Linked DNA regions of Oryzias latipes. The protein of the gene in region 1 interacts with the protein of each later gene in a pairwise test. Links are inferred from orthologs where the notes say so. Each region holds a gene or a part of one and is shown on either strand. Other genes may lie near its edges. The genes, in order: efhc2 and ncdn.

Evidence for each region.
Region 2: the proteins of efhc2 (region 1) and ncdn interact in binary tests that used the Homo sapiens proteins (3 or more experiments, as listed by UniProt). The two-hybrid records come from large-scale screens. The link is inferred for Oryzias latipes from reciprocal best matches to the Homo sapiens genes EFHC2 and NCDN.

What each region holds. Positions count from the first base shown.
Region 1 is NC_019879.2:12,523,187-12,526,967, reverse strand, and holds part of efhc2 (EF-hand domain-containing family member C2), read left to right. Parts: intron 1-1,025; coding exon 1,026-1,220; intron 1,221-2,930; coding exon 2,931-3,023; intron 3,024-3,781. UniProt on the Homo sapiens protein: Microtubule inner protein (MIP) part of the dynein-decorated doublet microtubules (DMTs) in cilia axoneme, which is required for motile cilia beating.
Region 2 is NC_019869.2:19,980,905-19,985,290, reverse strand, and holds the start of ncdn (neurochondrin), read right to left. Parts: upstream 3,017-4,386; 5' UTR 2,841-3,016; coding exon 2,676-2,840; intron 2,392-2,675; exon of another isoform or gene 2,303-2,391; coding exon 1,336-2,302; intron 604-1,335; coding exon 443-603; intron 343-442; coding exon 104-342; intron 21-103; coding exon 1-20. UniProt on the Homo sapiens protein: Probably involved in signal transduction in the nervous system, via increasing cell surface localization of GRM5/mGluR5 and positively regulating its signaling. Required for the spatial learning process.

The DNA.
Region 1 (3,781 bases):
TTTTTTTTTTTCAGATTCAGTTTTTCCATTGTAGGAACTGTAAAAAGTTGCCTGCTAATGTCAGTCAGAAAAAAATGGTATTATCGGCTCTAAACAGACCTGCCAATACAGGAACTAAAAAATAATAAAAATGTGCTTAAGGTGCTTAACCAAAAGCCAAATTTCATTCAGGTTTCTAAACAACTGAACTGACTAATGTCAGATGACCCTGCTCATATAAGAAAAGCTTTACCACATTTACCACAATGAGCGCTTTAATCCTTTTAATATAAATCTGTTTACTCACAAAAAAAAAAAAAAAAAAAACCTAATAGGTAATTCTAATATCTTGACTTCAAAGTCGTGAGAGCAAAGACACTAACCGCCTGTGTTTTGTTGAACGAGGAAGCCTGCGGTTAGCATGGAAAACAACCAAGAATAGCTTTGTCATTGGAGAAAAATCAAGTGGAACACCAATCTCAGGATTTAAACAGAGCGTATAGTGTACAATGGTGTGTTCAGGTTCTAAGTCCCAGTTCTATGGAACTGGTTTAGTTTTGCGATTTCATACTTGACGCTACAAATAGCTTGCTGTAGGCTGTTGTTGTGAAGGCTGTTGTTACCAAAAGAGGGAGTACTGCAAATTTTTTTCCACACCTGAAACAGAAGCCTTCTGTCAAGAAGATAAAGGGCAGCTCTCTGAGAGATGCTCAAGCTAGCGGCAGCTCACAAACCTATGACAGCTTGTATTTCATTGCACTTTGAATTCAGACCAACTTCCAAAAGAGACCCTGAAATAAAACAGTCAAATATATCCCGTCATTTGTCATGTTTGTTAAAGAGTAAAAGGAAGGAGACAAAAAACATTGAAGTTGGACACTGAATTTGGTCTGGAAAAAAATGGGACATTTTATTTTTTGTCCATATCCCCCATCCCTGATTAAAATACTGAAAGAATCTGCAACCTGAATACAAATGAAACTGAATATAATTTAGTTTTGTCTCAGATTTTCTGTGCAAATTTCTTTCTGTGCTTCTATGCCTAGGAATATGCTGATGGATCTAGACTGTGGTCTTGTGGACCACGAGGTGCTGGTTCTGGGTAGAACTTTCTCCGAGCAGCAGCAGCCTGAGGATGATGTGGCCTTGATGTTGGCCGTGGCACAGGACACACTCAGGAGAAAGCTTTACGATGACTTCCAAAGCCTGACCCTAGCCTTTAACAAACAGGACCCACTCAAGTAAGTGATGTGCACACAGCGTCACTCACGTGCCTTTTAGTGTGAGGATAAATGTTTTCACCACAGAACACTCACCAACACAAAAACAGGGTAATTGCTCCACAACTGTAAATCAATCATGAGGCCAGTGGCGCTGTTCCTCAGAGCAGGATTTAATTCAAGTTTACATGAAGGAAAAAGTGGAACCAGATGGACGCAGAAGACCAGCATGTTGTTCTGGAGGACGTAAACACACACACCCTCCTTCATCTCTGCGTTCCTCTCTGTTCTACTTTTCTCTGTGTGCTTTCAGGAGGTCTGCAGCTTAGCTAGCATGGACAGCTGGAACACGCAGCGCCACACTGACGCATCTGTTAACGGCGCTGTTGACAACCTCATTTACTGCACATTGTTCTTTAAATTAAGATGGCATGACAACAATGCTCTGGGAAAACAACTGAGGATAAAAACAATTCTGCACTCCTTCTTTGAGACCACCATTAAAATATCAACTGGAAAAATGAGACTAAAGGGGGAATCAATTAGTTCTGCTGACACTAAACCAGAATCTTCAGTTAATTAAAGGAACTCTCCATTCTATCTGTTTTGGTTACCGTGGGAACTAATCCTGACTTCTTGTAGGGAACTTACAATGGCTTGTGTGTTTTTTAAATCTTGATATAAGTACAGTTAACATGGTGTAAAGGTTATGATTCAAATTTTGCTGAATCTCTAAATGTGATTTTGCCTCCCTCCCTCCACTCCCAAATCACCTTCTTCTTTGCTGGGGTTTTTTGGTACGACGTTCTGAACTTCTGGAAGAAGGAATCTCCAACAGTGAAGCAGCCAATACAGCAGCATGTGGCAGGTTTTGGTTGTCTCAACATTCAACCAATGAAGCCTCATTTAGGAAGGACATGTTTCTTTGGAGTCCTTCCTCCCTTCTAAATATTTATACCAAAAAGCAGTGCATGCATGCAGTTTATTTTTCAGTTTTCCTCCTTTTGTTCTGAAATCCTGGCTGTCCACTAATGAGACACTGAGCATTTTTGGCCAAACACTTTGAAAGCTGGTCTCGTCTTTGAAAAAGTTTTCCTTTCAACTTCTCCAAACAAATATCTTTCTGTCTTTTTAAATTTGTACGGTCATGAACCTCAACAATCAGCCTTCTGGCTGAAGTCTGTTCAGTCCATGATGTAGCTGTAGGGATTCTCTGTTTCTTCTCTGAGCTCCAGCCCACCTGACCCTGGGAAGAAATGCGCTCGCCTGCAACAACTGGCAGGTGTTTTATCAATCAGTCGGTTTTATCAGTCTGTGAATATTATTTTGAGTGAGGAATAATGGACCACAAACAGTTTTAGAGTAACACTTCCAGTATACACAAATAGCAGCAAAGATCAACACTAATGTGTCTCCAGACCAACTGCTTAAATATACATTTTTACTTTTGATAAATTATCCACATGTAATTTGTAAGTACACTCTAATTTTTCCTCTTAACTCATGTTTAATGGTCTCTGTTCATCCACATCTTGATGAATAAATGAAGCTGTAAGGTAGAATTAGTCTTGGACTGGGTGTGGTCTATTGTTGGCCTTTTTTCCTTTCAGGTCTAATCTTCTGTAAGTTTTTGACGACTGCATCTGTCCAACATCTTCTGCAAAGTGATCTGATTTAATTAACAGTTTGACATTTTGAGTAGATTTATGAGCTTTCCTTTTCTGTCTATAGAAACGGCCGCATTCCCAGGAAAATGGCGTGGAACATTTGTGAATCTGTTCATCTCCCTGTTTCCGAGAACCTGTTAGGAACTCTGCTCACCAAGTAAGAATCCATATTGCTCTGACCTACTTTCACATTTTCAGAGAGTTTTTAAGTGTTCATTTTTGACAAAGACACCAGCAGCTTGTGATGTGCAAACACTCAGGCCACAAATCTCCATGAATCGATCTGCATCACCTTTCTGAAATAAAACCAGGACTCCTTTCAATGCTCTAGACACACAATTGACCAGCTGTTTTTTTATCAAGTATTTCAGACATTATATAATCCTCTTCCAATCTACAGGTCTACAGTAGTTTTATCTGTCAAACTATAAGGGGTCGTGGGAGGACCAATTATAAAAGCAGTACTCAGAATAAAGTTGAATCGGTTTTCTTGGCAAATACTAGTACACTTGAGGTTTATTTTATTTAGTAAACTTGAGTATAAGTACAGCGAGCATACAGGACATACAATGTTCCCTCTTTTATTGGAGGAGATGGGTTCCATAAAGAACCTGCAATAGGGGAAATCAGCGAAGTAAAACGACACATGTTCTGAAAGTCCGAACCTTCGTAGAAAAATAAATCCAGTATTATAGAATGAAAACAAATATCTGATCACAACAGAAGATATATGTACATTTGGAAAGCTGCACGTATCTGTACAGGAGACACGGCACAAAGGAGATTGATTGGCAATGTCAAAAGCCAATCAGGATGCAGACCACAGTGCGCTGTAAGACAAACGAAAGTTAACTGCGTCATAGCAAGGGACCACTGTATACTTCATGAATACTTCTTCAGATTAAATTGGAACAT
Region 2 (4,386 bases), on another chromosome or scaffold:
ACAGAGCTGGGAGGAGGTACCTTTGCGGTGGATGGGGGGGGGGTGTATACGGTCAGGTGATGCTCGTGTTTGATTCTTGCAGCTTCAGAACTTTCATCTCTACCTCAGAGCCTCTCCACCCGTCCACGCCCCTCCCTCCTCAGTGACGGACGCCTTAGCCATCCAGTCAGAAAGGCTCTGCTCGGCAGCGGCGCCCTGCAGGTGGTGCCGTGCGTACCCGACCAGGAACGGCAGCAGATCTATCACTTCCTGCTTCAAACAGGAAGTCTCCTCAGCCAGCCAGGAGCACAGGGAGCGGAAGGAGGCGAAAACAAATGGGTCGCCATAACGACTGGCATCCACCTGACAAAAACAATAAAAGAGAAGGAAGATGGAGTTAGAGATGATCCACAAAGCCCAGGGGGAGGAAGTGAAGTATTGGGGGGAGGGGCTTAGACGTCACCTGCTGCAGGTAGAACATGACGGCAGAGAAGGCCTCCTCGAGAACCTGCAGGACCTGCCGGCTCTGCTGCAGGCTGAGGGCGGGGAGGGCAGGGGCGGGGCTCGGAGCATCAACGGCGCTGCAGGCCTGCTCCATAGCCGCCTCCAAGATCCTGTAGCAGCCTGCGATAAAGGACACCGGGTCACATAGGAGACTTCATCTCTGAGGTTCTGAAGAGGAACATGATGAAGTAGCCCACAAAAAACATCATGAGCCTCAACAGAACCAGAACAAACCAAGAACACTTCATAGAGGTAGAGAACTGGTGGGGAAGGAGAGGGCGGAGCTAAAACTGATAAAGAGAAGCTAAAACAGAGAACCATTGGAGAAACGAGCATAAACCAAGACAGTTTTAGGACTTTTTTCCCCCAGATTAGAAAAGTTTTCTGAATTAATATAATTTATACATGATAGAACATAAACTTTAACTTAAATTTGAGATATTTTCCATCCCATCATTTGATCTTTAGAGGCTTTGGAAAACATCAAAATGCTGAAAAATTATGTTTATTGGTGATTTCTTATAGATTATAAAAATTGATTAAACGTTTTTGTCTCTGAAGCTCAGAATCCTCAGAAGTTTATAGTTTATACAATAAATATATATATTTTATATTAAAAGTCCCACTCCCACAGCATTTTTTCATCTGCTCCTGATTGACACAATTTAAATAAAGAAATAATCAGAAATGCCAATTTGTGCATAACTTTCTTTATAGATGTCCTCCAGCATCAGAAAAATGTTAAAAAGACTAAAAACATCATTTTTATCGGAGCGGGTCTTTAAAAGATGAAATCATTTCACACCCTGAGTAAGAAAAAAAAATATGTCACAATTTTTTTTTGTACTTTACCTGTTAGCGTGTTCTGCAGCTCCGGGCTCAGCTCGTTCCCCGGTGGTTCCTCCAAACCCATCCGAACCTCCACGCAAGCCCGGTTCACCAGCAGGCAGCAGAACTTAGGCGGTCCCGCCTGGTCCCAGCCGTACAAATCCAGCAGGCAAGCGCAGAGCACCAGGATGGGCCCGATCTGTCTGGGAGTTAGCCTGGACTGCAGCATGGGTCTCAACTGCTCCCACACTGAGCTCATGGCATCCCTGAGCTCCTTGCTCTCTATCGCCATCCCTGCTGGGGGCAGGAACTGCGCCAGCTGGGCACACGAGCTGAGCCGGTTTGGTTCTGAGGCCCGGCAGAAGTCAGTGGAAAGTCTGAGCAGCAAGGCGAGGAGCTCTGCTGGGTGTTTATTCCAAACCTTCTTCTTGGTTTTTGCAGAGAGGAGGTGGCCCAGCAGGGGTAGGCCCCGCTGTCGACTCAGGATCTGGTTCTGCTCTACAGCCTGGCACAGAGCGGGGACGGCCCCCCTGCTCAGGAGCAGCTCCGGACCCTGAGGTAAGGCGCAGACGGAGGTCAGCACCTGGTAGCAGTCTGCGGCCGTGGCCTCGTCCAGCTGGAATGTTTGCTGTGACGAGGAGGATCCACTACTCCCATCTTGACCTAAACCTCCATCTGACCCCTCATCCCCTTCTGGACTCAATCCTCCAGGCTTTTGCTGAGCACCCGGCTTTGATCCGTTAGCTAAGAGATTGAGTAGTAAGGGGACGGTGGCGAGGAGCTGCGGATGAGCAGCCATGTCTGGGTCTGTGCTCAGAGCTGCTAGCAGGGTGGCTCCCAGACTCAGGGGGTCAGAGGGGGCCATGCCTGCGGGGACATCCTCCCGGGTGGCTGTGACCAGGAGGCGTGCTGGGAGGTTTAGCCCAACCGCCTCAAAGATGCGCCGCAGGCTGCGTTTGTCCAGCTGACGCGCCGGACACACGCGGGTGATCTGTGGAGGCGCAGCAAGAACCACTCTCAGGGTTCAATTTCCAAACTTTTGGGCACCTTTTACAACAAATGAGATTTTTTTCCATAGCTCTGAAAACCCAGAGACACATTATGAGCTTTTGTTTGAATGAAATCCTCTTGTTTTGCCTATTTGTTCAACAAAGTTTTTTTTTTCAATTTCAGTAAAAATCACAATCCTTTTGTAAAACAAAAACCGTATTCAGATTGGAAACAGGCTTTCACACTTGAATTATCACAGGTAATTAAACTTATAAAAGCATTTTTTTGTAATTAGAAGCTGACTGGACTTGTTGCTAGGCAACGACCACTCTCCATCTTAACCAGTAAACTCATCGTGTAGCTTGATCACTTACCAGTAGTAGGGCGGCTAACGTGTGACTATCGTTCTTCGCTTGCTTGAGCGCGTGAAGACATCTGTCTAACATCTGTCCCTGTGTGTCAGTAAGACACCCTTCTTCTCCTCCTCTCCCCTGCTCCTTTTCAGTTTCAGGAGAAGTAGACTCGTCGCTGTCAGCCATGCAGACTCGTTACGACGGAACCAAAATTCTTAATTATCTTTGTTGGAACAGGCCAACTTAGTCAACGCACTGAAGAAATAGAATCTAAAGCTTCAGAAAATGAACAACCTTAGTGGTACTCCATAAGCACGCGGGAATACAGCTCATGGGGTCCAACCAGGAAGTAAGTAGTCAAAACAAAATCCGCAACCAATGAAAACAGAAATGCAGTCCCAGCGAGCCAATCACAGCGAGGTTTGCTGGAAGGCACCAACGCCATTTTTTACGTATTGGGCGTTGTGACGTTAGAGAAACAACGCAATTTTAATTTTGAGTATTATTTTTGGTAAAAACTCGACATAATATTTTTAAACGTTCATTGTTTACTAATTTATTTCAAAGTATCAATTATATCTTATTAAATTGTTTCTTTTTTTAACTGGCAGTATACTCTTTTTTCAAATAACTTTATTAGTGTTTAAGAAACATACAGAACAATTCGACTCTACACACCTGAACATAAATATAGATAGATAGATAGATAGATAGATAGATAGATAGATAGATAGATAGATAGATAGATAGATAGATAGATAGATAGATAGATAGATAGATAGATAGATAGATAGATAGATAGATAGATAGATAGATAGATAGATAGATAGATAGATAGATAGATAGATTTTCAAAAAATTATTACAAGAAAAAGAAGAAAAAGTCAGTAATTAAATAAATAGTGCGCAAGACTTTGTTTAATGTAAACAGGATTAAAGATTTACATAAGCTAACAGTATTTATAGGCTTTGTAATTGTTGTATGTATATATTTTTGAAATTAAGATTACCCTTAACTATATACTTAGTATACTTGACGTTTCCTTTTAAAATTCTGCCTGTACATGTTAAACTTAAAATGTTCCAATTTAGTCTGAAGAAGTATTTAGTTAATATACAAATTATACTAAACGTACATGATCTACTTACAGTATATTCATAATTACTTCATAAAGTAAACTTCAGGTGTACTTGCCTTTTGCTAAAGGTAGTAGAGATTGTTTTTCGATATTCGGCAAGTTTTCTATTAAGAGGAAAAGTTTGGCTTTGTTGTCAAAAACGTTGCTGTTATTTATATGGAATTTAGCTAAAACTAATATTATGATAAAATAGAAAAAAAGTAAGACTATGAAAACCAACAACTTATTTTAAACATCTTAGCTGCATTAGTTGAAACATGTTTATGCAGTGAAATTCAACCGGAAGAAGTGTCTGTGATTTTCTTTAACTTTAATATTCTTTTTAAAACACAAACAGTAAACTTACTCCTTAAGTCTTTAAAGATCAACCAGCAGAAAAAAGGCACAAATAAAAAAAACTGAGGTGCGATTCAAGATTTTTAAACATTGTTTCATTTGATTTTTTTAAAGAGATACAAAAATAATTAATTTTAAAGAACAAAATATGAGTCCACTTAAAAAACTGCATTTGTGTATGAAGTACTTATCTATCAATAAACAAAAAATTGAATTTTTACCTTGAACAAATACACCAAAATTTAAATACCTAAAAGT